2 linked regions of the Canis lupus familiaris genome follow. The protein of the gene in region 1 binds, or shares a complex with, the protein of each later gene. Links are inferred from orthologs where the notes say so. Each region holds a gene or a part of one and is shown on either strand. Other genes may lie near its edges. The genes, in order: KLB and FGF19.

What was found.
Region 2: the proteins of KLB (region 1) and FGF19 are in contact, whole or in part, in a crystal structure (PDB 6NFJ), measured with the Homo sapiens proteins. The link is inferred for Canis lupus familiaris from reciprocal best matches to the Homo sapiens genes KLB and FGF19. Residues at the interface, in NP_783864.1 of Homo sapiens: Phe379, Lys380, Val392, Leu394, Trp419, Phe420, Thr421, Asp422, Val425, Thr431, Tyr434, Met435, Asn438, Tyr643, Glu693, Arg696, His743, Asn824, Phe826, Met832, Gln848, Phe849, Leu850, Gln851, Ile853, Leu862, Phe931, Phe942; in NP_005108.1 of Homo sapiens: Leu192, Thr194, Asp195, Ser196, Met197, Pro199, Phe200, Leu202, Val203, Thr204, Ser211, Pro212, Ser213.

Annotation. Positions count from the first base shown.
Region 1 is NC_049224.1:73,578,098-73,593,289, reverse strand, and holds part of KLB (beta-klotho), read left to right. Parts: intron 1-8,364; coding exon 8,365-8,875; intron 8,876-11,706; coding exon 11,707-11,975; intron 11,976-15,192.
Region 2 is NC_049239.1:48,914,739-48,930,582, reverse strand, and holds FGF19 (fibroblast growth factor 19), read right to left. Parts: upstream 9,620-15,844; coding exon 9,379-9,619; intron 9,001-9,378; coding exon 8,897-9,000; intron 5,992-8,896; coding exon 5,677-5,991; 3' UTR 4,537-5,676; downstream 1-4,536. UniProt on the Homo sapiens protein: Involved in the suppression of bile acid biosynthesis through down-regulation of CYP7A1 expression, following positive regulation of the JNK and ERK1/2 cascades. Stimulates glucose uptake in adipocytes. Activity requires the presence of KLB and FGFR4.

The sequences.
Region 1 (15,192 bases):
GCCCCTAAGGATTCATGGATTCATTTAGCCTCTGACACCAGTAAGGACAATATCTAATGCCAATTTTGCTGGTTCTAGGAAAGGGGCCCAGGGAATTACACACAAGTGTTCTCTGCTGTGCTAAGCACTTGGACAACTACATGGCTTTCTGAAAACCCCAAATTTCCTGGCAAGTCCTCCTTGACCTTTCTAGGTGATCTAGAATTTCAGACATACATGGATATTTTCTCCTCAGCATTTGAGAATAGGCAACTATCTATCACTAATTCTATCACTGGTTAGTTTTTTTTTTATCAATTATAATCAAGTACAGCAGAAATTTATTTAAAATATAATTTTAGGGTAACTTGGATGGCTCATTCAGTTAAGCATCTGCTTTTGGCTCAGGTCATGATCTTGGGATCCTGGGATTGAGCCCTGCATCAGGCTCCCTGCTCAGTGGGGAGCCTGCTTCTCACTCTCCCTCTGTCCCTCATCCCCACTCGTGCTATCTCTCTCTCTCTCTCTCTCTCTCTGCTCTCTCTCAAATAAATAAGTAAAATCTTTAAAGAAAATAAAATAAAACATAATTTTAAAATAGTATGTTGTGGTTCATGTCAAATGGTCCCCAACTGCTTCAAAATTTAGGACTGATGGACATAAAGAAACCAGGATGGTTTAGTAAAGTGATCTGAGAGGCCTGGGTTCAGATGCTACCCTTACCAGTGCTCAGCCTCTGTGAACTTCAATTTCTTCTCTAAAATGGAAAAAATAGCTCTGCAGGGGCTGTGCTATCAACAACGTATGTGAGATGACAGCTAACTAGCTGATCCATAGTGGGCATTCATTCAGCAAGTACTCTGTGACAGGCTCTTCACAGGCATCTGTATGTACAACGGTCAGCAAAATAGATACAGTTTCTGCCCCCAAGAAGCTGGTAGGCCAGGCACAGTTCTGCAATCCATGGGCCTGAGATGTACAATCCGGGGGACCTTCTGTAAGATAAAAAAAAAAAAAAATTATGGATGCAAAGTTAGTACAAAAGTGAACATTTATTTGGAATGAGAAAAATATTACAACAGATTACTGTAATCTTAGAGATTCATATTCCTTCTTTTCTGAGGTCTCTTTGGAAATTCATCAGCAATACTTTTCTAGAAATGCTTCTAAATGCAACCAGCTTCCAACCCACCTAGAACATTTTATAGGGACCCATGCAAGTGAGGAGTCCTAAGGCTTCCGCTTCCTTCAGTTCCGGGAAATCTGCCTTTGTTGCCAGGCCTAAAACTAGTAGGTTTTATTTTTGTTATTGTAATAACTGTATTTTTGTAATTTCCAGAGTGGTTTCTACATGGACTGTCTTTAACTCTTCATTCCTAAATCCTGAGGAAAGGCTTCATGTCCCTCACCCAGGCCATTTTAGCTTCATTTATACTCTGAGATATGCTCCTTTTGCATGAAAAAATTACTAACAGGATCCCAATTGTTAATGTAATAATAACAGGAAGCTTAAAATAGCATTCCAACCTCTGCAGAGTTGGCATGCAAATGTTCTTCTTGGGCAAGGAAATTGAACTTCAGTTAAGCATCAATTTGCTAATATTGATTTCTTAAAGCTCCCTTCTAATATCTGGGGAAACCCACAGATGCTTCACTTAATTAATTATAAGCTTTATTCTAGACTTTTTTTTCCCCTCTGTGTTGCCAGGTTTAGACTCTGATTCAAGCATTAGTTGAATTTACTAATATTATCATTGAAATTAGGATTCTATAAGAATATTAAAGCCATTTTTTGAAGGAACAAATATATTAGAGTTTAGTTTTTACATGATTCCTATAGGGAAACCCTGAAACTATACAAATTGATAACAAGCAAAGATTTGTTATAATCATTTGAAAATATGATGATGAAAAGAAAAAAAGAGGGGGCACCTGGGTGGCTCAGTCAGTTGAGCGACAGCCTTGGGCTCAGGTCATGATCCCAGGGTCCTGGGATGGAGCCCTGCATGGGCTCTCTGCCCAGGAGGGACCCTCTTCTTACTCTCCCTCTGTTCTTCCCTCTGCTTGTGCTCTCTCACTCACTCTTTCTCTCTGAAATAAATAAAAGCTTTTTTAAAAAAAGAATATAAGAAGAAAACTCATTAAAACAAAATATAATATGATTATTACTGAGCTATTCCAACTATAGAAAACATGAATTTGAGGGATGCCTGGGTGGCTCAGTTGATTAAGCATCTGCCTTTGGCTCAGGTCATGATCCTGGGGTCCTGGGATAAAGCCCAGAGTCCTGGGTTCCCTACTTATGGGGAGCCTGCTTCTCCCTTTCCCTCTGTCCCTTCCCCTGCTCATGCTGGCTTGCTCGTGCGCTCTTTCCCGCTCTCATGCACACAAATAAATAAAATCTTTAAAAAAAAAAAAAAACACACATGAGGGGATCCCTTGGTGGCGCAGCGGTTTGGCGCCTGCCTTTGGCCCAGGGCGCGATCCTGGAGACCCGGGATCGAGTCCCACGTCGGGCTCCCGGTGCATGGAGCCTGCTTCTCCCTCTCCCTCTGCCTATGTCTCTGCCTCTCTCTCTCTCTCTCTCTCTCTCTGTGACTATCATAAATAAATAAAAATTTGAAAAAATTTAAAAAAAACGTGAATTTGAGCCATTAAAAATAGGATAGGTAAAAATTTTCTTTATGAAAGGTGGGAACTTTTATTAATATTTAAGCTGCCTCCTAAGACAGATGAGGGTAAGATACTGTTTCCAAGAATTTCAAGATTCAAAAAAAAATTTTTTTAAATAACAGTCATATATTTTATTTTATTTTTTTAAAGATTTTACTTTTATGTTATCTCTATAGCCAACATGGGGCTCAAGCTCACAATCCCAAGATCAAGAGTCACATACTCCACCAACTAAGCCAGGTACCCCCACATATTTTTAATGAAATAATAGTCATATATTTTTTATCAATGAACAGTAAAAGTTTGCATACCTTAAGCCCTCAATAAATATTTGTGGAATGCAGAATGAAGGACAGCAATTTTAATTAACAGAAAACTTGATACTAATATAAAGTGCTAGTAGAAAAAACACATGAATCAATGAATCAAACTGAAATTATGATTGCTATTATTTTTGGTTTCAGGTGTAGAATTTAGTGATTTATCACTTACATATAACACCCAGTGCTCATCATAACAAGGGCCCTCCTTAATCCCCATCACCCATTTAGTCCATCCCCCACCCAACTCCCTCCATCAACCCTCAGTTTGTTTCCCATAGTTAAGAGTCTCTCATGGTTTGCTTCCCTCTCTCTCTTTTTCCTTACCCTCTGTTCATTTGTTTTGTTTCTTAAATTCCACATCTGAGTGAATATCATATGGTATTTGACTTTCTCTAACATTTTGCCAGCATAATACACTCAAGCTCCATTCAATCAAACTGAAATTAATCCCAATTCAAATGGACAATGACTAAAATTCAATCAGCTGCAAGAAATAAATGAGAACACACATATCTAGCCATGAAACTCAAGAGGTAGGGAGAGCTAGCTGCAGACCACTCTTCTAGGCCACACAGACTTCCCACCATTGTTTTTCACAGCAAGATAAATTATTTTCAGCTTAGTCTTTTAATGTACTTCAAATTTATATTTGTGTTATCTTCATAGGGTCTTGACATGTTTACCTCTTTCAATTTTCACAACAATTCTCTAGCGTGTTTCTTTTTAGCTAGAATAACAGAGGGAGAACTGAGGCAACTAGGAGGGGATGATTTATCCAAGGTGATAAAGCCAGTTAGCAGTAGGTCCAATACTAGAGCCTGGGTCTCTTACTTTCAAGACCCTTTCTCCTACAGTAGCATGTAGGTAAATAGCAGTTTCCTGTCGTTCTTGCTAACCATATATCCCCAAATAGACAACCAATGTTTTGAAGCAGTTGGTCAAAGAACACTCACATCAATGGACAAAATGTGTGAAAAGCAATTTGGAACTATGTAAAACAATTTTGAAAATAGGTAGCCCATGCCTGGGATTAACAGAAGGAAAGAATCCAAACAAATTAAAAGTTATATTCCAAAGTTAGATATTACGACATTATTTATGATGGGGGGAAAAAAAGAGAGGAAGGAAGGAAGGAAAGAAAAGCAAGCTAATGCATATCAAAAGAGACATAACTAAGTAAACCATATTTCATCAAATTGGTGAATGGTTATGAAGACTAGGAAGATGGAAAATGCTCAAAGTGATTTTAGCTGGGAAATATATTTGGAAAAATTGGAAGGGAACACAGAAATATGAAAACAGTTTGCTCTGATTGTGGAGTTTTAAAATAAATTTTATAAAATAAAATAAATTTTCTTTAACGGTTTTTATTTAAGACTTTATGAAATAACTTTAACCATAAAAAAGTTTATAGTTCACATGAAGGTATTTCAACCTCAATGTGACTAAAATCATACACAGATGTGGAAATTTAGCTTTCGACAAATGTTTGGGGCTTTCTTAAAAACAGGCGCCTGTGATGTATGAGGTTTGTTCATCTGTCTTCAACCCCTGTTGTCCACAGGGTCCCACATGTCTTCCTGACCTCTGACCCCGTCTTCACTTTGTTTCTAAAGTCATGCCCACTATCTTATTTGCTTCCTATCATTCATAGAACTTATCTGAGTCTGGTCTTCTAGGCATCAAAGAAGCTACTACGTTAGACTAGAGGAGGGAACAGAACGAGATATTAGGCCCCTGGCTGTTTCTCAATGACATCAGGCCCTGATAGCTGGCTTGGAAAGAAAAAGCTGCTGACTTCCCCTTTAAGCTACTGAATCTACTGAATCTAAAGAACAAAGGTTGAAGCTCCCTTAAATCAATCATTCCAAAGGTAGATGGCCTTGTACAAGATAGAGGGTAACCTTGAAAATCGCACAAGGACTGTTGTGCAAGGTTGCAGAGCCCGGGCCGCACTTCTGCACCCCATTTTAGTTTTCCCAGTAGACCTCCTTCATGAGTGTCAGACCAAAGGACACCCCTAGATATCTCTCTTACATCTAGATTTATATCCAACTCATACCTCGAAGCAATACTTTTTACCTTGTTACTTGGCAAACAGGATCAAGTTATAACCATAAGTGCCACACAAAGAACCTCCCCCACATTCCCCACATAAGCATGGAGAGGCTGTCTTCAGGCCAGAGCACAGATAACCTTAGATACCTTGATAGCCTATGCAAACAGCAGCAAAGGTGAAAGAGACACTGTGGAATACGAAGGTCACCTTGGGGCATGACAACACATATCTATATATAGATATATATAGATATCTCCAGAAAACTTGCTTGGAAGGGAATTGCAAATCTGTGTATCTGTTGTCCTCCAAGCTATCCTATTTCTCATTAAAATGCTGACCTAGGGATGCCTGGGTGCCTCAGTGGCTGGGCGCCTCCCTTTGGCCCAGGGAGTGATCCTGGAATCCAGGGATCGAGTCCCACCATGGAGCCTGCTTCTTCCTTTGCCTGTGTCTCTACCTCTCTGTCTCTCATGAATAAATAAATAAAATCTTTAAAAATAAAATAAAATAAAATGCTGACGTAACCAAGATTTTATCAATGCTTAGGTCATCTTTCATATACTCACTGAAATAGGTATTAGATCATCTATCTTAAAGAAATTCCCCTCTCCTTTTTTTGTTCCTCTGAGGACTGATTTAATAAATGTATACTGATTCCATCTTTCTCTTTAGTTTCTGACGGCATCGTAGTTGTGAGGCAACTTATTGTGACTTGGAATCTTGTGTGTCCAGGGCTTTAGAGTTTACACATCAGAGGGGCACAACAGCCCTGAAGAGATGTACTGATCACTGTGGTGTTTGTGAATGAAATTACAGAGGATAGCAAAGGATTAAAAGAGAGATTGGAATAAAGCAAAGAATGCTGCCTTTGAATTCTAGTCATGCATGATTGCTTTTGTAGCAAATCAGAAGGAAAAAAAAAAAAAGGAAGAAAGAAAAGGGAGCAGCTTTCAAGTCTCTCTATTGTTATTTCAGCTCCAGAAAAGCCTAGAAAGAGCACCTAAGACCATTTCAGGTGAAGTCTGTCCCAGACTCCCTCTGTGTTTCCTTCCAGAAGCCGGAACTCAGGTTCTGGATTAGGGAGAAGGCCACAGCCTAAATACTTCTCTAGTAGAAGAACATCCTGGAGAATGTTTGGGTGCTGAATGATTCCAGGATCTTCCAGTGAAAATTGAGCAAGGACAAGTGGAATAGTGGTAATACTTCAAAGCATCTACTCCTTCAGAAAATCTTTCAGGGAAGGATTTAAATTAGCTATTGCATAAAGCAAGGAGGCATCTGTTCTGGAATCCTTACCTCTTAGGGTAACACCTATCTCTCCCCATCCTAACACAATTTAGGGAACTTTTCAGTGTTCACAGAATCTATTAGTTTTTTGTTCTGTTTTTTTTTTTTAAATTTTTATTTATTTATGATAGTCACAGAGAGAGAGAGAGGCAGAGACATGGGCAGAAGGAGAAGCAGGCTCCATGCACCAGGAGCCCGACGTGGGATTCGATCCCGGGTCTCCAGGATTGCGCCCTGGGCCAAAGGCAGGCGCCAAACCGCTGCGCCACCCAGGGATCCCCCCTTTTTTTTTTAAGATTTATTTGAGAGAGAGAGAGAGCATGGGTGGGGAGAGGCAAAGGGAGAAGGAGACAGGCAGGCTCTTGGAGCGGGAAGCTGGTTGTGGGGCTCCATTCCAGGACCCCAAGATCATGACCTGAGCCAAAATCAAGCTTCAGACGCTCAACTGACTGAGCAACCCAGGATCTATGAGGTTTGAACCATTGTTCAGATATGATTGTTTTTGGCCTACAAAAAGGCATTTCAGATCATTCAACCCAGTACAAAATACAGCTCTAATGAGCAAAAGACAAACTAAGAAACAAAACGGAAAGCAGATATTGTGAGTTAAAAATAGTAAGGGTTTGTGCACTTGTTTTAGAAACACCGAAACAGAGGAGGAATTGGGACACCTTGGAAGAGATGTCAGGAGGCAAGCAAGTCTGAGGGGAAGAGATACTGTCACACAGATAAAGGACAATTCTAAGGCTGCCAGGGTCACCAAGTGACCCTGAGCATTAACTGGCCTAGAGTCCTTAATTGTAGGCCTTGATATTGGCTCCCCCGAAATAGCTCATGACTCTTTACCAAACTTTTAATTATTTTTTCATTTAATGACCTATTTTATGCTGTTTTATACATGTTTTCTTCCACATATTCCATCTTATTTTCTCAATAAGATTATTGGCTCCTGAGGGCACATTTCTGTGCCATTTATTTCAGTCTCTCAGGGCAGATCAAGGCAAACCAAGCACTAAGCTAGTGCTCACTGAGTACCTCTTAAGTAGACTAGAAACCTATCATGAGGCTCTGTTACAAGAAAACCCAACTGGAAATGTAAATTGTGGGAGGACCAATAGCAACGACATGCATCTTTGAGCAGTACCTCCTACATGCTTCATTGTGTGCTACACATTTAATATATATGTTAGCGTCACATCTAACAACTTTACAAAGGGTATTATTATTATTATTATTAACTTCTTTTTACAGCTGAAGATACTAAGAGATTTCAGAAAGGTTAAGTGAATTATCTAAGGCCACATGGTAAGTATCTGAACTTCAAGCCCAAGAGTGCTGAACCCAAAACCCACACTCTTTCCTGCAGGGTATAATCCCTGTCATCCTTTTACAATAGCAGTAATAATAACTGCTATATTAATAATAACAATATTGTTATAAAAGAAGAGTTATAAAAATAAAAGTTATATTAACAATATTAGTGTTATAAAAATAATAGTAACAGTAGTAATAATAATGGATTATATAGGGGTTACTCTGTGCCAGGCACTATTCTAAAGTCCTTTACACGTATTAATTCATTCAATCTTCACAAGCCCAGAAGATGGGATCTATTATTCATTTACAGGACTTGGAGAGTGCATTATCTAGGACTTCTAAGTTAGGGCTAAAAGGAGATTCTGTAGAACAATGAAAGATCATTGCTCTTTGTTTTTTTAAGGAGAGGAAGAAACTCTGTAATCCACACCTTACCTACACTCAGCACCAAGAGGGCGCATGAAAGGAGCCAGGGAGAGCAAAAGTAAGATGGAGTTTGGACCAGGGCTCTTTGCTTGCCCATTGGCAATCCAATAGGAGAGGCTTTACGTTGGAGGCACAGCAGAAGCAGACAGAGAGCAGACTTTGAGATCATTAGGGTTCCCTGACAGCTCTCTGCTGCATCGTGTGCTTCACTAATTTGTCCATGAAAAGACCTTCTACCAGCCAAGTTACAATCCTTGTGAGTTAGGACCATAAAGATTAATGATATTTTCTTCTTATTAGGCTCATTCGAAAGTTTGGCATAACTACAACACAAATTTCCGCCCATATCAGAAGGGTTTGTTATCAATCACGTTGGGATCCCATTGGATTGAACCAAACAGATCAGAAAACATGATGGATATACTCAAATGTCAACAATCCATGGTTTCAGTGCTCGGGTGGTTTGCCAACCCCATCCATGGGAATGGAGACTATCCAGAAGTGATGAAAAAGAAGTTGCTCTCCACTCTACCCCTTTTCTCTGAAGCAGAGAAGAATGAAGTGAGGGGCACAGCTGACTTCTTTGCCTTTTCCTTTGGACCCAACAATTTCAAGCCCCAGAACACCATGGCTAAAATGGGACAAAATGTGTCACTCAATTTAAGAGAAGTGCTGAATTGGATTAAACTGGAATATGGCAACCCCCGAATCTTGATTGCTGAGAATGGCTGGTTCACAGACAGTCATGTGAAAACAGAAGATACCACAGCCATTTACATGATGAAGAATTTCCTCAACCAGGTTCTTCAAGGTTGGTTGCACATTAGCTCAATTTTTTAAAACTTTGTAATACATATCCTATAGGACACTTAAAGTCATCTTTGAACATATTATTGTTGTTGGGCTTTCCCATTGTGCAATGTTGATAGAATTTTTGTGTTACTCTCATGTCCTTTTTTTTTTTTTAATTTATGATAGGCACACAGTGAGAGAGAGAGGCAGAGACACAGGCAGAGGGAGAAGCAGGCTCCATGCACCGGGAGCCTGACGTGGGACTCGATCCCGGGTCTCCAGGATCAGGCCCTGGGCCAAAGGCAGGCACTATACCGCTGCGCCACCCAGGGATCCCTCTCATGTCCTTTTTAAATAAAAGTTTGAAAACAAAATAATACTAGACTGTAGATATACACCCTTGTTGGCAACAAGGTGCTGTATCATTCTTTTTATTTTTATTTTTTAAAGATTTAAAAAATGTATTTATTTATTTGAGATATGGAGGAGCAAGGGGGAAGTGAGAGAGATTCTCAAGCAAATTCCAGGCTGAGCATAGAGACTCAGGAAAGGGTTGATCTCTCAAGCCTGAGATCATGACCTGAATCGGGAGTTAGACACTTAACTGACTAAGCCACCCAGTTGCCCTCATGCTCAATCATCCTTTTTAAAAGGACACATGCTACAAGAGATATGTTCCAAAGTTTTCCAACAGTAGTACCTTAGTCTAAGATACTGAAAGCTTTTCTTGAAATTAGGCTCCTTAAAAAGAGCACCTGGATGACCAGTTGGTTGAGCATTCCACTCTTGATATGGATTCAGGTTGTGATCTCAGGGTCCTGGCATGGAGCCCTGTGGAGGTCTATGTGCTCAGTGGGGAGCCTGCTTTTCTCTGTCTCCCTTTCCCTCTGCCCCTCCCCCCACTTGATCTACCTCAAATAAGTAAATAAATAAATCTTTAAAGAAAAAATAAATTGTGCTCTTTTTATTCTATTACATGACTAAATGGTGAAAAGGTCTAAAGAGTGAGCCATGAATGGCAAAATTGAGTAATTTCTATTGCTCCTGGGTGTTTCTCTGACCCCTACTAACCCCCTCATTCCTTTTCCGCTACTCAAGTAGTGACATCTACAGGTGGCTGATTGAAATAATGGAGCAGAAGACAAACTCAAATGATGATGGGTCTGTCCCCTACAGAATTGGGCTCCATTTCACCCAAATATAAAGAAATTCTCAGTAGATCTTTCTAAAAGTTTGTAGCCCTCTTTAGAAGTCGCAAGCCTATGGGTGCCTGGCTGGCCCAGTCAGTAGAGCATGCAACTATTTTTTTTTTTTGAAGATTTTATTTATTCCAGAGAGAGAGAGAGAGAGAGAGTAACTGGGATTAGAGCAGGGGGAGAGGAACCAGCAGACTCTGCACTGAGTGTGGAGCCTGTCACAGGGCTCGATCTCAAGACCCTGAGATCACAACCTGAGCTTAAACCAAGAGTCAAATGCTTAACCAACTAAGCCACCCTGGCGCTCCTGAGTATACAGTTCTCGATCTTAGGGTGTTGAGTCCCAGCCCCACATTCGGGATAGAGTTTACTTAAAAATAAATAAACTAATTAACTAATTATAATTTAGAAGTCACAAGCCTAGAGGAAAACACAGGTTCTGCAGGAGTACCTTCAGGGAAGGTCCTCAGGGAGAGCAAGATCTTTTTGCCCCAAACTGTGGGAAGGAGCATCATGGAACAGCCACGCCCAGCCATGGGCATGTGCACATGGGGGCCTCCAGAGCAAAGGACTCTGCCTAGAGAGCCTTGGCCAAATACCATGCAGTTGGGCAGAAGGGGTATCCATTCCCTAGGTGTTACCATTCCATCTCCCCTGAGGGCCCTACAACACCAAAGGGACTAGAACCAGGGCCTACTGGAATGTATTGATCTCACTAGAATCTCTTGGGCTGGATCTCGCACCTTTTAGGAAAAGAACATCAGTGACAAAAACCCAAAAATGCGGAAGTGATGCATTTCTATGAGAGAATTGGAAGCTTTTAAGAAAAGAAAAATAGTTCTTAATTGATTTAGGTATTTGTTGCTTTTATTGCTGTTGTTGATTCTCATATTTCATTTCTACCCAATTCCTAAAAGTTATTGAATCAGGGGTGCCCGGCTGGCTCAGTCGGTAGAGCATGTGACTCTTGGTCTTGGGGTTGTAAGTTGGAGTCCCACATTCTCGAAAAAAAAAATAGATCTTTAAAAAATAAGTTATTGAATCGGAGTTTTCAAAGATCCTGAAAGATCTTTTCCAATCTTTTCTGTTAACAAACGAGATCAATAAATTTGCCCAATAGCACCCTCCCAGGAGCATAGCAGCCCCCTACCTCCTGCCCCTCACCAGTCAGTTCTCTTAAAGCACTATACTATTTCTCCTCATGGACACTCACTTATGGTCATTCTGCAAGCTGATTTTTCAGTCCTTAAAGGGTGGTTTCATAGAAGATAGTTTGTGCACAAATGGGAACTAACCCAAGCTTGCAATGAAAAACTCTTGGTCACGAGCAGACATCTGCCTTGGTCCCAAAGGGTTCTGGGAATTTCTATGCCTTCTGACACAGATTCACACACTAATATTCTCAGGAATATTTTAAAATTGATCTTTTAACTGTGTCTTTTACTTGTTGTGAGTAGGGGGAGGACCATTCTGGATGAAACTGACTGCCGCTTCTCAAGTATAAACATGAATCTTCTATTTTATATAATGAGCCTGTAATTTAGGAAAAAAGTTGGTTTCACAATATGCTCCTGGCACATGTCCCCTGGCAGATTGTTAGCGAATCATAAACATGAGCAAGAGTGAACATCTCTGCTTTTCTTCCTCTGTGCAGCAATAAGGTTTGACGAAATACAAGTGTTTGGCTACACTGCTTGGTCTCTCCTGGATGGCTTTGAATGGCAGGATGCTTACTCCACTCGCCGAGGATTATTTTATGTGGATTTTAATAGTAAACAAAAAGAAAGAAAGCCCAAGTCTTCGGCATATTACTATAAACAGATCATACAAGAAAATGGTTTTACTTTCAAAGAGTCCACCCCAGATGTGCAGGGTCAGTTTCCCTGTGACTTCTCATGGGGTGTCACCGAATCTGTCCTTAAGGTAAGTGACTGCTTACAAAGTAACCATAAATTGGTGCAAATAGTACACAGTATTTTATTTCCTTTATTCAGTGACAGCTGTCAGACAATAGCAAATATGACTATTTGGAGGTTATAGAGGGGAGTTGGGGTAAGAGGAAGGAAGGTGAGAATCAAGGCTTATGGAGAGCCTTTCATGTGCTAGAATTTATCTTTGGTGATGGAGATGGGAGGCTGCCCTCAAGAAGTATACAGTCTCCAGGGAACTTATAGCTATTTTTGCAAGAGGCATTGGTCAGTAGTATCAAAATTATAAACTTTTTTATATATTTTGTTTTGCCAAAAGCAAATTATTATTAGTGGCCCTTTATTTAAGTGGTTCCTGTTATTTGATAGATTTGAATAATTTGCTTATGAGGTCCCTATGTCCTGGTGGGGACTCCCAAGCCTCATTCGTCACCTTCATCACATGACTTACTTAAATGCCACCTTCTCAATAAGGCTTCCCTCCACTCCAAAAAAATCACAATCCTCTCATTCCCCTTTATTCCTTTCCCCCCCATATATGCTATTCATCACTATCTAACATACTACTATGTACTTTTCACACGTTTCTTTTGTTCTCTAGCTGTATTGAGATATAACTGACTACCACATTATGTAAGTTTAACAACACATTGACTTGATTCAATTATATATTGCAAAATGAATACCACCATAACAATTCCCATTTCTTTTTATGGTGAGAACATTTAAGATCTATTCTCTTGGCAACTTTATGTAATACAGCGTCATTACTAATAATCACTATGCTGTGCATCAGATCCTCAGAACTTAATTTTATCACTGGATGTTTGTACCCTTTAACCAATATCTCCCCATGTCCCCCACCTCCACAGCCCCTTGTAACTGCTCTATGGATTTTTCTTTTTTTTTTTTTTATAATTTATTTATTTATTTATTTATGATAGTCACACACAGAGAGAGAGAGAGAGGCAGAGACACAGGCAGAGGGAGAAGCAGGCTCCATGCACCGGGAGCCCGACGTGGGATTTGATCCCAGGTCTCCAGGATCGCGCCCTAGGCCAAAGGCAGGCGCTAAACCGCTGCGCCACCCAGGGATCCCTCTATGGATTTTTCTTATGTCATTTTTTCACCCTACTAGAATGCAAGCTTTTTCTGCAGAAGGGTGGAGATGCTTGAGGCTTTGCTCCCTGCTGTGTGCCTTACTAGGGCAGCGTCGGGTACATGGACCACTGAGCACCGGCCATGTACCATGCAAAGTGAATTTGTTAAGGCCAACTTTTAGAGCCAGATGAGACCTTAGAGACCTCCTCTTCCAAATCCTTCATTTTACAGATAAGGAAAGTGAGATCTATCATTTCATAAATGAGTCCAAGGTAACATAAGTAGTAGCAGGACTGTAACAGGCATCCCCAAGCCCCCACATTTACAGTGCTCTTTTCAAAATAATAGCAACTATTTTTTAAAGATTTATTTATTCATGAGACTCAGAGAGAGAGAGAGAGAGAGAGAGAGGCACAGACACAGGCAGAGGGAGAAGCAGGCTCCATTCCATGCAGGGAGCAGGACATGCGACTCCATCCCAGATCTCCAGGACCACACCCTGGCCTGAAGGCGGCGCCGCTGAGCCACCTGGGCTGCCCGCAGCTATTTTTTTAAGTCCTTATTATGTGCCAAGCATATAACTGTTGTATATATGCATATTCTCTCCTAAATCTTAAAACCCTCATTTTACAAGCAAGGAAACTGAGGCTTAGGGAGGTTACCTGATTTGTTCAGGGTACCCAGATCTGTCTGCTTCCTGACACCATGCTATAAGACCTCACAATTCCACACTATGGCCTATATTCTAGAAGCATATGGAAAGCCAGCAAGATCTACAAGGGATGAGACCAAACAAAAGGGCTCAAACCATGAATGAATAAAGTTCACATATTATGAATCTCAGTCCCTGTTGATACTTAAACATGATTTGGTAAAGGCTCAAAGATAATATAGGGGGGAAAGATAGAGTAACCTAAATACAGAACTGACTCATCTTCAATTTGTGTCTCCTGTAGAGCCAACTACTTACTCGGTTGCTATCTCTTCCACATGGCAAAGGCAGGCCATCTTTCCCCTACTACTTCAAATGGGTTTATACTTTTTATAATTCCACACCCAACAAAGAAAGATGCCAGGAGAGATAAGAGTTCCTGCCTGTATATGACCCAACCTGCAAGTTTCTGCTTCATCTAAAGACCCACTTGTGCCCCAGTGATTGACACTGTGAATGTCTATCCTACCTGGGGACCCTACCCTACTCCTAGGAGGAAGAGTGAATCACTTGGGTCAGAGGAAAGCAATTCTATGATCAACTAGTTCTGAGTCTCATGCTTATACCTGAAGCCCAGGGAGGCATCAGCTGCCCTTGAACTTGGACTAAGAGTGAGGATGAATTGTTTGCCAAGAAAAATGAGAGTGCTTTTTGAAAACACAGTCAGAGGATGTATGAGTAGATGCCAAAAAACTAGATGTCCTCTATAGGAAGACTGACAAAATGAAAGTAACACTTAAAAAATATTAGTATATCTACCTATAAACATCCCTATCTTATTTTCCTCCAGCCTCTCAGTATTCTTTTCTCCTCTCACCTTTTGTTTTGAGAAATTTCAACCTAGTGCAATAAACACTCATATTCCCTTCATCTAGATTGACTAATTTTTAGCATGTTGCCACAATTTCTTTCTCTTTTATAAACCAGTGAAAAGTTGCAGACATTATTACACTTCACCCCAAAATATTTCTATTCAAACGTGTCTCCTAAAAATAAGAACATTCTCCTATATCATTATAGCATTATCAAACCCATATTTAATATTGATTCATATCATCTAACATACATTCCATATTCAAATTATCCTAAATGTTCCCAAAATGTCCTTATAAAGATTTTTAGATCAAGAATACAAACAAGGATGACACATTGGTTCTCATTTATCTTCAGCCTCCTTTAATTCAGAATAATTCCCCCAAGTTCATGTTATTATCACTTTTGAAGAGCCCAGAACATTTGATTGGAGAATGTCTCATGTTCTCCATTTCTTTTTTTCTTTATTGTAAAGATAAATAAACTTCTGTAAAGATAAACTTCTGTAAAGATACTACATAGATGAGGTTGTATTTCCCAATATATTGCATCAGGAAGCACGTGTCATTGTTTCATTATGGAAGAT
Region 2 (15,844 bases), on another chromosome or scaffold:
TGAGCTTAGCTGTTGGGGCTGGGGAAGACTGGATCCAAGAGATGGGCAGGATGGATCCAGACCCCACGGTGAGCGATCGGCATGGAGAAGCCGTGATGAGGCCAGAGAGTGGAGTGGAGGCTGGAAGGTGGACGGGGAGGCGGGAGGTGAGGGCAGCGAGCAGAGGGCTGCAGAGGGGAGTGTGTGGTGCCTGGAACCACGGAGGCACCTACACATTGTGCCAACGTGCACGCAGCCCTGACAGGGGCCGGGGTGGGCTGGGGGGGCTTCATCCCTGCCCATAGCTGGCTTTTTCACAAGGAGAATAACTCATGCCTTGGCATTAGTGAGATTAAATAGGCATCTCTTTAAAAGGAACCTCGCGTGGAATCCAAGGATCACCCCATTCAACAGGCTGGAAGGTGGAGGCCCCCAGAGGGCCACGGGGTTCTGCCGCTGGTGTCAACTGGGGCCAGTAAGGACTCCTCCCGGGCTCCCGCCTGGCCCGCAGTTGTCCAGGAGCCCCGACTGCTGCAGAGGCTGCACCCCACCCACGTGGCCTGGCAGACACTGGTGACGTGTCCCCTATTCTGTTCGGCACCCCATGGCACGTGTGGCTCCCCCAGGGACCTGCATCCCAGTGCTGGGTGACCCCCCATGGCCCTTGGAATGAAGTGCACCTTCTCCACCTGGCCAAAGGAGCCCTCCTTGCCCAGGGGGGCCCTCCTGGGGACAGGATTCTAGCGAGCTCCCCGGGTCACCCCCAGCGAGGGCACTTGGGACTCCCCTTGCCAACAACCCAGGCAGGTTTCACCGTGAGCCTGGCATGGCAGCACGGGTACAAACTCTCTTATGTTGTCTTCACTAACAGACCACACGGAGACAGACGAGAGGTTGCTGAGAGCACCGTGCCCAAGCCGTGCCAGAGCCAGAATACCAGACAGGGTGGCTGTGCCAGCACTCGCTTGTCATCTCAGTCCTGGAGGCTGGCAGTGTGAGGTATGGCTGCTCCGGAGGGAGCCCTCTCTCCTTGGCTTGCAGATGGGCCTTCCCCGTGTGTCCTGCTCACCCCTCATGGTGACCTCGTGTTACCTCAATCACCTCTTGAAAGGCTCCATCTCCAAATACAGTGACATTCTGGGGCGCTGGGGGAGGGGGGAGGGAGGGAGGGAAGGAAGGGGAAGAAACTGAGGTTTCTTCGTGGTCTGTCTTCCTCTGCAGACGGGCTGGAAGGAAGGAGACATACAGCCATTCTCAGACGGAGGGATGACGAGGAAGCCAACCACACTTGTCTCTAAAGAGTGGCCAAAGGAAGTTCCCTAAGAGTAAGAAATTATGATGGAAAAGGTCTCCTGGAACCTTAGGAAGGAGCCAAGAGCATTGGCCTGGTAAAACCAGGGGTAAGTCCATCAGACGATCCTTCTCATGAGGTTTCCAAATCATACTTGATGGTTGAGGCCAAAACTGTTAACAGTATGGGATGTGGTGCTTCTAGAGTTGTCTGCCTGTCTCTCTGTCTTTCTCTCTCTGCTCCCAGTTGCAAAAGACACCCCTTCTTTTGTTTCCCCATGCCCTAATGAGACTCCCTTCTCACGACCTTGAAAGTGTCCTGAGCCCGAGGCAGGGGCCACTCTTCTGTCTCCCTATAACTCCATGACCCATTTCTGGGTCCAGGGTGGTCTTATGCCCACAGTCCCCTTATACTTCTCTGTCTTTGGATCATTTCTAGGTGGCATTTCCTAACCCGGAGGAGAAAAGCTCGCCAATTCAGCACGGCAGCTGGTGAATCAACAAATGCAGGCATTTACTGAGACTTCTGTCCCCTCTGGGGAAGCACCCTGCTCCCAATCCCTGAGCTTCCCGGGCTGATTCCTCCCAGTGTGGTGGGGGTGGCTCAGGGCTGACCAGTCATTGTGTCCTGGCCCCTGGCTGCAGAGATCTGGAGATCTGGTGGGGAATCACCAGGGGACAGGAGGGTGGGGAGAGGGTCCCAGATGCTTGTGGGAGCTGTGGGGGGTGGGGGTAAGAGAAGCTGCCGCTGCTGGGGACCATCTGTCCTTACCTTAGGAGGGGAGAAGATGCAAAAGCTGAAGGACAGAGACACTGATGTGTTGAGCCGCCCCCATCCCCAAGCACACCTGGCCTTTCAACAAGGTGAACCCCAAGGACAACAATCTAGAGGCAGCACGAGGATTCTCACTTGGCAGGTGCAGAAACAGTCCAAAGAAAGAGTTCTTTTGAGTTCTGCTTCTGGGATCTCACCACTGGACAGGCTTATTCAATCAAGCCCCTTCCTGCCCCTGGTACTTTCTCGGTAGTTGACCCCCACGTCTGTGGCATAGATCTAAAGCTAGTGCTGCCAGACAAAATACAGGATGCCCCCTTAAATTTGAATTTTGGATGAACAATGAATAATTTCTTAGCATAAGTAGGTCTCATATTGCATGGACATATGTATACTAAAAAGTATGTTGCTTATCTGAAATTCAAATTTCACTGGGCAGGTCAGGCTTTTGTTTGCTTAAACTTAATAGCACTGTCTAAGGCGCAAAGGGAGATGCAGCAAAAAGGGGAAGGCCACCTTCCTAGGAGGAGCAGAGTTAGGTCAGGGGGTTGGACGCAAGAAGCAGTCTTGAAGAATCATCCTCCTGTCTCCTGCCAGAGTGCCCACATCAGCCATAAAGGTGGTCATCACAACGTTTTGCCCGTCAGGTCAAGTGAAAACGTGACCTGGAGTGAAAATGTATTAACCATCAACAGTCTAGTGTGAATTAGTTTACAAAAATGTGCATTTAGGGCAGCCCCAGTGGCCCAGTGGTTTAGCGCCGCCTTCAGCCTGGGGTGTGATCCTGGAGACCCGGGATCGAGTCCCACATCGGGCTCCCTGCATGGAGCCTGCTTCTCCCTCTGCCTGTGTCTCTGCCTCTCTTTCTCTGTGTCTGTCATGAATAAATAAATAAAATCTTTAAAAAAAAAACAAAAACAAAGATGTGCATTTACTCATTATTGTCAGCTATGCTGTGGGGAGGACACTCCATTCCTTTTTCCCTGAAGTGTTTGTCTCCAGAGCACAAAAGATCAAATATAAAATGGTTTTCCTGTGGCCAGTCAACCTGGGCTGCGCATGTGAATCTTCGGGGAGCTTTACAAAATCGTAATATGCAGGCCACACAAATTCCAATTAAACCCAATCTCTGGGGATGTGCTCTAACCACTCTCTTTCCCAAGGTGATTCCACTGTGCAACCGAATTTAAGAATCAGTAGAAATAATTGTTCTGGGCCAGTTCGAGTCCTGGTGAGGGCTGCTGCTGTCTGGCGGCCCACTCTGTACCAGGCATCTCGCAGACAGATTCCATTTGGTTCTCCCAATAGTCCTGCAATGCACACCTTGTTCATCTCACGGTTCACATGAAGTTGCAGGCTCACAGGGGTGACTTGACGTACTCCAAGTGACACAGGTTAATAGGCCGGAGGATTTCTTGCCTGAACCCACAGTCCTTCCACCATGCTGCTTCCGGGCTCTGCAGCTTTGGATGGGTGCCTTCCCTGGGTGGTCCTGTACTCCATCACCTGTAGAACAAGGGGTAGAGGATGCTGGTCAGCAGGGGTCACCCATTCTGCAGTGTCATGGGGCAGAGGGGAGAGGCAGTCAAGAGTGAGGCGGCATCATGACAAACAAGCGGTGGAGGGTCAACTCTGGAGGTCCTGGGCACGTCCTCAGTGTGCATGACAGCTTAGAGTGGGGTGTCCTTGCAGGGGACATGGGAGACGCCTCATGAAATAGCCTCGGTAGACGTTCACAATGATCTTCAGCAGAGTAACTGACATAACTGCACAGTACCTCCCAGGTGATGGGGTGAACTGGACCATTGTCCACACCAGGCACTGCGTGGCTGCTCCCGTCATTACTGCTCTCTCCATCCTCATCCCATATTACAGATGAGGAAATCAAGGCTCAGAAAAGCCCATGATTTTCTCTAGAATGAACAGCCAGTTGGGGAATTTTGCCTAAAGACATGCAGCAACTTCTTCCGCAATTTGTGGTTGTCATAATGAGGGGATGCTACTGGCATCTAGTGGATGGAGAGGCCAGGGTCACTGTTGATCATCCTAGCTCACTCAGGAACACCTGACCCCAGCAAAGAGCTACGTGGCCCCAAGTGTCAACATGCAGAGGGTGACACTACTAGCTGGGGTTTGGTTCCTACACCTGACACACCCCTATGCTGTGGCTGAGGTAACCATGCAGAGTCCTAGCAGAGGTAGTAGAAGGAAGCCTGCACCCAGGTCCACGCAGCTTCCACCACTGGGTAAACCGAATCTACTATTCGACCCACCAGAGCCTCAGCTTAGAGGGTGGTTGCAATGACTGTGAGCTTTGGCAGAAAGTGTAGTTTTAAATGCAGCAAACACCCAAAGCCTCTCCTCTGAGCTCAGCGCCAAGGTCTGTTTCCCTTCCCTCCCCTTCCCGCTCTCCCTCGAGGGCATCCAATTGGATAATGAAATGCAACTTTTGGTACAAATTGTGCTTTAATGTAGAAAACAAAAAACTCACGTACATCATAAATACAACTTAGGAGTATAAATAAAGTAAGAAAATAGAGAGATGTACATATCAAACAAAATAAATTACTCATAAATACCACGTTGTTGAACTAAGTGCTGGGGGAAGGGGCTCTCTCCCCGCTGCTTCCGCAAGTTACTGGCAAGATTCCGGGCTTGCGAATCCAAACTTTCCTGGCTTTTGAACGAGATGTGCAGGTCTACCCAAGGTGGGAGGCTGCCAAGTTCTGCTGCATAGGAAGACGTGGTGCCCAGCGAAGGGCTAGGAAAGGGGAAGGAGCCCCAGAAGCCACATCTGCTCCACTCTTCTTGGAATCCTTGGTGCTTAAGAAAGGAGGGAACACGCCAGAGCCGCAGCGTCGCCGAGACCAGGAAGGTTCTGTCCTGAGGGGCAATCATGTGAAACCCACACGTCCAGAGATGGGATCCTGTGGAAACCTGCATTGTGATGGCAAGGGCTGCTGGGGCTGTCCTCGTGTCCTGTCCCTCTCAGTAGGTGCCCATTCATTTAGGGGAATCAGCCTGAGCCTTAGCAAATGTTGGCTATGTGCAGGGCACTGGTGGTCAAGGTGGGGGGGGCAGGCAGACTGCCAAGTAGTCCGATGAAGGTGATCTATCCCAGAACCAGCCGTAGTGGGGAGTTCTTAAAAGTTTTCCCGGGCTCTGGGTTCTCCCAGTTCCTGAAGCCTGGTGAGGTATGCCCATGCCCGGTCAGTTCTGTCCTGGTAAGTTTTCACAAAGCTGATCACCTATACGTGAGTTTAAAATGACCGCTTTTTTCCTGGCTGCCCCTGCTAGAAATGATGGGAGAGAACGTTCCCAAAGGTAGTGAGTTCCCGGCCAGTGGAGGTATTCAAGCAGAATCAGGGCACCACAGCAAACTGTCCAGCAATGGCAAAGGTGCAGGGTGGAGGGCTTATGATTTTATGATCATACAAGTCTATCTGCTAGGAACTGGCATAGCCGATGGAAAACTCTGTACATGTACAAGCTCTAGATGTCTCTTCCTAAAGCTAACTGGAACACGAGCCCAGGATCGTATTTGTAGAAGCACAGCCAGAACCCACCACACGTCTGGGGTCCTGGCCTCTAAGGGCTGGGGGCAGGGGTGGGAGGTCAGGCCACAGCCCCACTTATTTTTGGAAACTGGGACTCTTCACTAGTCCAATTTTGGTGGCGATCCCAAAAGGGTCCATGCTGTCTGTTTCCAGGGATGCAGAAAACCCGTCAGACTCCACATGGTCTTCCAGGTCCCTGGGCTCTGTTGGGCTCCCGGGCAAGATAGGTAAGAAGTGGGACAGGGGCAAAAAGCCCCTGCCCTTGTAGAGCTGCCTCTGTTTGGCACTACTCAGAGAGATGGGGAGATGGTGCTTCTTGGACCAGTACACATTGTAGCCATCGGGACGGATCTCCTCCTCGAAAGTACAGTCTCCGGCGGAGTACTGAGGCTGTGGAGAAAACAGGCAACCATGAGCACCAGTGGGAGCCCCCTGGTGCTCCAGAAGCAGCAGAGAAAACGGGCACTGGTGAGCATTTGTGCTACATGTTGCCACTTGGGTCCACATGATGAGCCGTGTTTATCTGTGTGTGTAGTTATACATAGCATAACGTACGTGTTTATATATGTAAATGTGTACTTCTATAAAGTAGGCATTACATTATATTAATAAACACATTGTGCATATGCTAATATAAAAATGTAATAAATTGGGCAGCCGGGGTGGCTCAGCGGTTTAGCGCCGCCTGCAGCCCAAGGTGTGATCCTGAAGACCAGGGATCGAGTCCCATGTCTGGCTCCCTGCATGGAGCCTTCTTCTCCCTCTGCCTGTGTCTCTGTCTCTCTCTCTCTCTCTCTCTCTCTGTCTCTCATGAATAAATAAATAAAATCTTTTTTAAAAAAAGAAATGTAATAAATTATAACATTAAAGTTACATACCGCATTATATATACTTTGTAAGTATAAATTTATACATATTAATAGGTGTTTTATATGCCTTCATATACACACATACTTCAGGTGCGTATTTCATGTGTGTACTCAGTATCTGTATATACTTTTCATGGATCTTTTATATCTCTCACTAAATCATGTCACTTCTTAAACTTAGCCTTGTTCTGAGCAATATGCATCAAATCAGAGGTGCAACATGGGTGCCTCTGTCCCTCACCCTTTACAGCAAACATAGAACTATTGACATGAAAATGTCCCTGGGGTCCACTGACACTTTGGGAGACACCGCTACACTGGGTATGCTCTCCTAATCTGATCTAGGGCCCAGACTAGCGCATTGATTCCCCATCTAGACCTAAGTAACAGTGGGCCATTCTGAGGCCTTTCTGTCTGATGTCCTTGCAGGAAACCTCAGCCCCCTTGTGAGGGGTGAGGGCTCCTTCCTTCCAAGGCCCAGAGCCTTCCAGGCAGCCGGCCAGGATTATCAAGATAAAGGCAGCCCCCTCCCCCCAGACCCAGAACAGAGTCTGCACCCAGCGGGGTGGCGGGAAATGCAAGCCTACGGGATGAAAGCAGCTCCTGGGGTCCCAGAATACTGGTAGCAAAGAAGTACCAGTGGGCCAAGTCCTGTACCAAACTGGAGAAGGTCATTACCCTGGGGAAGGTGGGGACACAGAGGGCAGCCTAAGGCAGAGAGCCAGGAGGGCTGGGCGGTAAACAACCCCGTGAGGCACCCAGTCCCGTTTGTGCCCGAGCCTACAAAGGTCGCTGAACTGCAGGTGGGTGAGCGCTGTGCTGATAAGGCACTGATAAGGCTCAAGTCTAATGAAGCAACAACATACCCAGCTCCCGCACTGCGATAGAGCCACCAGACAGCGACGGGAAATGCAAATTGATAAATAAACAAGAGAATTAAAAGCAAATGGTGGTACCCTTTTACTCTGCTGGTCCTTTGGGAGAAACTAGCACCCATGCTCTTCTCTAAACAGAAAAGGAAAGGATTTCGAATTGCTTGGAGAAAGTGGAATTTGTTTAAAAACAACAACAACAACAACAACAACAAAACAACCTCCGTTTTGGTTAAGCCATGCCCACGGGATCAAGGGACAGAACAGGATTTCGGGGGAAGCAACCTTCCCCCCCTCCAAGTTTGGACTAGATTGGTGGGTTAGACCCCTCTGCGCCAGCACGACCTCCAGCATTTCCCCTGCCCATCCTCACCCCGCGCCCCCCCCCCCCCCCCATCCCAAGTAAATGTCCCGATAACAAAAGTTGCCACTGCGGGTTTGGAGAGTGGCTTTGGGTGTCAGCTTTCAGCGAGCTGACCACCTCCTTTCTTTCCCTCCGTTCTGGTCCTTTCACGCAGGACTCTGCCATAAAACCTCAAACAGTCACTCTGGATAAATGGAATAAACCGGCCCCAGAGCCACAGAACAACTGGGACACACACACACAAAAAGACTGGCGCTGCCGGGAGGCCCGGCGTCTGCATCTTTCCTGGGGGCGGGGCCACCCCCGGAGGCGCGGTCTCCCGCCCCCTCGCCCCGCTCCGGCAGCCGCGCCCTCCGCCCAGCGGGGCTGCATTGAGGCCCTGCGCCCGGCCGGGACCTCACACAGGCTCCTCTGTGCGCCCGGGGGCGCGGGAGGGGCGCGGGCTCCCTTTGAACTCCCAGCCTTTGTTCCCGGAGACCGAGACCCAGCTTCCGCACACTTCCTGCCCCGAGACCTCGAGGGTCACCTGGGCCTTCCCGTCCCGTTTCCCCGCAGCACCCTCCCCCAAAAGCATCTGCGGCACAGGTGAGCGCTCCACGAGGGCAAACAAGCCCCTGGAATATTCTTGCAACGCGTCAGCAAGCACCACACTGCTTTTCTAGTAGGTAAAAATTAATGGAGAGGAAAAAAAAAAAAAAATCACACACACAACCCCTCCCCCCGCCCCAAATGTAATTTTTTCTGACTTATTGGAAGGTCGGTTTAAAAAAAAAAAAAAAAAGTCCAAGTGACTATACTTTCTCATGCTTTCCTTTTCTACCGCGGGGAGGGAACCGGCGGCGAGGACCACACACGCGCAGGCCCAGATTGAAATGGCCCGAGGTGGGTTTCACTGTTTCTTGTCAAAGAAAGCCGAGGACAGCGTCTCCTCTGTCCCCCTGGGCCGGCCCTCGGCTCAATAGGAAATGCAAAGGCAGCTCTCACCCCTTCTCTGGCCACCAGCCGTAAACTTGCGTAGAAACCCCCCCACACTTCAGCTTCATCTGTCCCCTCGCGGTCTTCCCTCCCGAGCTCCCCCGCCGGACCCCACGCAGAAAGCGAGGAGAGCCTGGGCTCGATCCAGCGCGCCCCCCTCCCCTGCGGGGCCCCGCCCGGGGGCAGGCGGAGGTCCCCCCGGCGGAGACACCTACCAGCCCTTGCATCCTGCCGTCGGCGCCCATGCAGAGGTACCGGCCGCTGTGCACGCCCTTGATGGCCACGGTCCGCAGAGCGACCGCCCTCATCTCCATCAGACCTGGGGTCGAGGGAAGCAGAAAGAAGGCTGCAGCCGGGACCCGCGGGGCCCACAGCACGTGGATGCGGTGCGTGCACAGGCCCGTGCCCTCCCCCACCCCACCCCACCCCACCCCTCCCCTCATGCATTCTGGGACCCTGGGGAGGGAATGGGACGCCCAGGTGCCAAGATCTGGGGTTCCCGGGAAGCGGGGGTCCGCGGGAACCGAAGGGGACAAGCGAACACTAACGCGTGGGTGCGGTGGGTCCACGTGCGGGCGCCCCCCCCCCAGCTCCCCGCGCTGTCAGGGGCCCGGGGCAGGGAGCAGACGCGGAGGTGCCAACGTGGGGTTCCCGAAGGAGGTGAAGGGAAGGGGCACCGGGGCGAGTGGGCACTCACTGTGCGCGCTCTGGCCCCGCGCGCAGTCCACCCCGCCGTCGGCGCGGATGCGCAGGAAGCAGCTGGAGAGGCCGTGGGGGCCGGCGGTGTACAGGTGCCGCAGGCGGATGGGCTCCCCCCAGCCGTAGTGCACGTGCGGCCCCGCGTCGGAGAAGGCTAGGGGGCGCCCGGCTGCGGCCAGCCAGAGGCCGGCTAGGACCAGGGCGCGGGCCACCGCGCACCGGCTCTGCGCGCGCCGCATGGCACCTCCGGGCTCGGGGCTCGGGGCTCGGGACGCGGTTCTGGCGGCGAGGGCGAGGGCGCGGGCGGCTGGGCTGCAGCAGGGCCGTGCGTGCCGGGGCGGGGTGCGTCCCTCGGGCCGGCGGTGCGCTCCGGGCGCCCGGGCGCTCAGCGCTCCTGCTCCGACGGCGCGGAGGCTCGAAGCCAGCGGCCTTATATAGCGCGTCTTACCCGCCCGGCGGGTGGGTGCCCGCGACACCCGAGCATTTCTTATCAGGATTGCATCAGCCCTCCGCCCCCCGCACACACCCACTCACACCCCGCCTCCTGCCCCAGCCCCTCCCCGGACCCCGCCCGGGTGACCCCGCCCAGGCCTCCCGGATCTGGGGGAGGAGGAGGCCCCGTTTCACCGGAGGGTTCGGGGGGCCCCTCCCCGCCGCGCAGTGGTGGGGCCGGGGGCCAGGTCGCTCTCAGCTGGGAGAGTTTGATTTTATAAAGCAATAAAGGAGACAACGCGTCCCCGCCCCCTCGCCTCCGGCTCCCCCAGGGAATGCGCTCCCCGCGGGGCGCTAGCAGGAGCGGGGAGCAGGCACCCCGTGACCAGAGACTGAGGCACCGACCTTTGCATCCCTCGCCCCCTGTCCGGAGAAGCGTCGCCTCGGCTTCGGGGCGCTCTCCCCTTAAAAGCCCGCATCCACTCCCTCCCACGACGGTCCCAACCGTCATATCTCCAGATGTAAAGCCGTCCATTAGAATTTCCCCCTGCCGCTCGGACTAGCTCACGTCGTCCTGGTCTTATGGTCTCGCGATCCCGGCCCCCCTCCCGCCCCTTTACCCCAGTAAATTGCCCCCCGACGGGGGGCCGGGCTCCAGTCCCGGGACGAACAATGGGGAAGTGGCGCGCGGCGAGCGCTAGATGGCGCTTCGGCCCCGGCTTCGGCCTCTGCCCGCAGGGCCCGCGGCCCCGGAGCTGCAGCCTGGCGGGGCGGGGGTCCTAAGGCGCCGCTCGCGGGCGCAGGGACGGCTCGGCCGCGGCGGACGGGGACTCTCGGACTTCCCAGCTCGGACCAGGCGCGGCGCGGCGCGGGGAGGCTTATGTTTGGGGTGCCTTTTGTCGTTGGTCTGGTCCTCGGGTCTCTGAGTCCTCCCGGGGCCAGGACGCCCCCTCCCCCGCCCCGCCCCGTGTCTTGGGGGGATTGGGGGAGGAGAGGTCGGGGAGGGACAGAGCAGCAGTGAGAGGCGATGCTGAGCTGGGGGTAGGCACCAGGCCGGAGATTGGGGCTGCTTGGTCTAGTGGCACCTGCAAACCAGACTTTCTCCAAGGATGCTCAGAAAAGGGAAAAAGCATCCAGAGAATGCCCTGGCTGGCCGGAGAGGGTCCTCCTGGGGACCTTGGGCTCCACACTGATTCTTTCTCATTTCTTCTCCAGACCTCACCCCCGACCCCCAAATCCTGGGTGTGGAGCCCCAGCAGGCCAGTTTTGGGGGAAAGCCATGCTGTCTCAGCGCAAAGGCAATGGGCGGGCAAGCAGTGGAGAGCGGGGAGAGAAATCAGGGCCAGACCTAATGAATTTCAATGAGTAAAGGCCATGTTCATACCCAGTCAGTGACTGGCGTTAATGACGGAGCGTGCAGAAAATGTCACCAGGAAAGGCTTTACAAAAAGACATCATCTCAAAGGCTTTATAGACCAGGACCCCCACGCTGCGTGTCTTGGTTCAGAAAGCCACGGCTTCTGTTAAATCTAATTACTTCCCCCCTGTGGCTTTAAATCGACAGCGGCTCCTATTAAACTTAATTACCCTCCCCTGCAGCTTTCGTTTTAAAGATCCTGGATAAATGTGGGGCACTGAGGAGGATGGCAGAGGCTGCAATGGGGGCCGCACCCAGGATCGGTCTGGGGGCAGGGAACACCAGCCTCTGGCCCCACCCGTGCTCTTTTGCTGCCCTTCCCATGGACACAGTGGAAGGACAGTGGCCACTGTGATCTCGGAGCTCAGGAAGGTGGTAAAGGCAGCAGCTTCCTATGCCCAGGCCCTGTTCTAAACACATTATGGGTGTCCTCGGCTTTAACCCCTATAAGAACCTCCATAGTATTCTATCCCCACTTCTTTGAATAGCTAGGAGAGGAGGGCCCCAGAAAAGTGGCACCCAGCCTTCAAGTAGTGGACCTGGAATTGGAACCCAGGCCATCAAGCTTGTAAATCCAGGCCATGCCTCCTCTCTGAGAGGTGCTGTGGCCTCCAAGCAGGGGCTCGGGCTTTAGGATCGGATTCTCTCCACCACAAATCCTCGCCTGGGCTCTCCGTGGGCAGGTCATGGACCTGCTGGGCCTGTTGTCTCCTCATGCTTGCTTTGAGCCTTGTCCTGGGGTCACATGGGAGAGTGGACCTAAGGTACCAGATATGGTTCATGAAGAGTGACGGCCATCCACTAAGAGTTGATGGGGTACTAGCATTACATAATCACAGGGTGCTCTGAAAGTTTGGGTGATTAATTCATACTATCAGGAAACGAAGGTGTGCAGAGTTGTCCAGACAGGCAGCAAGTGTTTGCTCCCAGCCAGGCTGAGCTAGGGGCCCTGGGCAGGTCTGCTGGTCCCCCTGGTGTGCTCCTTGGAGGAAGACAGGAGGAGCAGGGGAAAGGCGGTCCTGGCCAGCAGGGGGCGCTGCGGTTAGCACTCTAGGTGAGAGCTGCTCAGGACGGCGAGGAACCCAATAAAGGCTCCCAGCCCTGCAGCCACCAGTATGCTGGGATGGGATGATCTGGATTTTTCTGGTGGTGACTGAACCCGGTGACCCGCCCCGGTGAGATTTCATTCACTGAGTGGAGGGCAATTGGAGCAAGAGTCCAGGTCACCCTCGCTGCCCCACTCAGCCCACCCAGGGCCCAAGGGCTCTCAGGCAATGGTGACCAGAAGTGCCTTGCTTGGCAGCTTCCTTCTGGGTTCGATGTTAGCTGGGATCTTTTGTGTTTTGTATTGTTTTTTTTTTTAAGATTTTATTTTTTCATTTGAGGGAGAGAGTACAAGGAGGGGAAGAAGCAGACTCCTCGCTGAGCAGGGAGCCAGACATGGGGCTCAATCCCAGGACCCCAGGATCATGACCTGAGGCAGACGCATAACCGCATAAGCATAACCGACTGAGCCACCCAGGTGCCCCCAGCTGGGATCTTTTGAACTGCCCTAAACCCTTATCCTGGGGCCACCCTCTCTCAACCCAAGCTTGTCTGAATTGTTCTTGATGGTGGCAAATGAAAGATTTTCATTGTTTCTAAACGCACATCCCAACAGCTAAGAAAATCTTGTTCCGGTTCGCTTCCAGTCTTTGCATTATGAAAATAGTTGTTTTTCTTTTCACTTTATGGCTAGAAATTTACGTTACAATGTCAAACATGCCTTCTTAAGTACATAAGCACCTCCTCAAGCCCATCCCAAATCCCCTGCCCCCGCCCCACAGTTGAGCAGTTCCTTGTAATTACAGAAACTTCTCGGTGGTGGTAAAAATCTTCATCAAAAAGTAAGAAGTGGCAAAACAGGCCTGTGACAGAAAGGACTATGAATACTTGGGTTAAGGGAAGCCACTGGTTCCTGGCAGAACCAAGAATGGAACTCAGGGACACTGAATCAGTCCAATATGTTTGCTAGAATCTGCTAGAACATGCATCATTTCCCCCAAAGCATTCGGTGTCATCAAAACCCATTTTTCCCCTACTAGGATCATTATTCTAAAAATAAAAGACACGGCACCCCACTAGCCCAGAAATGGGCAGAAGCCATATCAGAGGGGAAAAAGGAAGACTTCTCTGAGCCTCTTTATTTGTAAAATAGCAAAAGGATTGCTTTTAACCTCCAAATGAGTTAATGTGAGAATTAGCAAAGATACCTCCATCAATGGAGAGATAAATACTCATATAGAGACCGCCTGGCATACGTGGGTGCATAACAGAAGGGGTAGCTATTGTTATTTATTTAAAGGCTACTCTCGTTATCTTTGCATTTTAAAATAACGGCAACCCTAGAAAAAGACAAATCTGGTCTATAGTGACAAAAAGCTCATCAGTAGTTGCCTGAGGCAGGAGATAGGCGTGGGGATTACCAGAAAGGAGCCAGAGGAAGCTTTCTGGGATGATGGGGATGTCCTTTTTCTCAATTGAGGTGATGAGTAATAGGCAATGACATTTGTCAAAACTCATTGAATGGTGCCCTTAAAATTAGGGTGCATTTTAAGTTGTGACTCAATGAAGTGGAGTTTGAACATTTTCTTTCTTTCTTTCTTTCTTTCTTTCTTTCTTTCTTTCTTTCTTTCTTTCTTTCTTTCTTTCTTTCTTTCTTTCTAAGATTTTATTTATTTATTCACAAGACACACAGAGAGAGAGGCAGAGACATAGGCAGAGGGAGAAGCAGGCTCCCTATGGGGAACCCTATGTGGGACTCCATCCCAGGGTCCCGGGATCATGAGCCTAAGGCAGACACTCAATCACTGAGCTACCCAGGCACCTTGAGTTTGAACGTTTTCATTGCAAAAGTGGTACTTGTTTGTGGTTGAAAATTTGGAAACTACAGAAAATCGCAATGGGGGCAAGTTTAAAACCTGGAATATTATGACTGCATTATGAGCTACTGTTTCTATTTGGGTAAATTTCTTCCTCAGACTTTTAAAAAATACATATGTATCTTTAAAAAAAAACAAAACACCCACAGCATTTGAATTATATTTTCCTTTCTCTCACTTACCGTCTCCCAGGACATTAAACCCCTTTTACAGCCCTCTTGGATCCCAGCAGATCTGAGTGGGCTACTGTGAGGGTCTGGTCTGTTCCCCAGGGCTGGACATTTAGGTTGTTTCCCGTCTCCTCTCCCACATCACGTAGGGGAGGAAATCCTGGAGACACATCTCACACCTATCCACTTTCAGAAGGGGGATTACCAGGCTCTGTGGTCTCTCTTCCCAGGTAGGTCCCAGTCCAGGTACAAACGCTGGATTAAGGTGAGATGTAGCCGTTTGCTACTGGAATTTGGGAAACGACCCTTCTCTATCCACACTAAGGGAGGTACAACTTCCTCCAGGCTTCTTCAGGTGAGTCCGACACTATGTTTAAGTCACAGCCAACCAAGGGGCACAGGAGCTGGGATTGGAAGCTTCTTTGGCTGCCAGTTCAGACTCCCACCCCACCCCAGGACCTGAGGCCCACTCACTGGCCCAGCCCCTCACCCCTGTCCACCTCCCCACCCCACCCCCATTGGGCAGGGTGTAGGTGAGGTTGTGCCTTACTTTATCATATGTGATACAGGAGCTGGCAGTCATTCCTGGGACAGAGGAACTCCTCACAACATGGCTGTAAAGCTGATTTCTGCCCATGAATTCTGCTCATCAAAGCAGCCACGTGTTTCCAATGGAAAATAGTTGGACCTGTCAGTGTATCAATATCTAAGAATGCAAGAACATGGCAAATGTCACCCCGTTAAAGAAAAAAAAGGTAGCTTAATGAGAAAACATGAACTGTGCTAACAGTGATGTCTCTAAAAGCCATCACATTAAAATATTGATCCTGGAAGGTCCTGGAGTCACTGAGCGGAAGCACTCCTGACGTGGTGGCCCCTGGCCAGCAGGACAGCCAGATAGCAACCCGTTGGGGTGCTGCTGGGGCTCCGTGGGCTCTGCTCCTCACACAGCTGGCAGGTGTTTCTCCATACGGTTATTGCCCTGCCATCTGCCTCCTCCCCAAACGTGTTTCCGTGGAGGTGGCGAATGTGTCTGCTCAGTTTGCAGCCGTGTCCTCAGTGCCTTGAGCAGAACCTGACACGTAGCTGATGGTCAAGAAAAAGTGCACCAATCATTTAAAGGAAACCAGGAGGCGTTGACGTGGCTGTGAATGTGCTGGATTCTTCCGTTTGTCTATCCTTCCCTTGCACGTTCTGTCCATCCTTCCTTCCACCCTGCCCTGGCTTCCCTGGCCGTATTCATCATTCACGGATCTGCCAACACTTTCTGAGCACTTCTGATGGGTCAGGTCTCATGCATCAGACCTTCTCTTGGCCTGTGATAGCCCAGAGGCAGGGCTCCCAACCCAACCGGAGGGGTGTACTTGGGGCACCCGGTGGTGCACGCAGGGAAGGTTAAGGTTGGCATTGCTGTTGCAGGATCTGCAGGATCGCCGGGGCCAACGGGAGTGGCACAAACAAGAACTCTCTCTAGAAGTCCTTCTCCCCGAGGACTGGCCCCGGGCACCATAAGCATATTTCAGG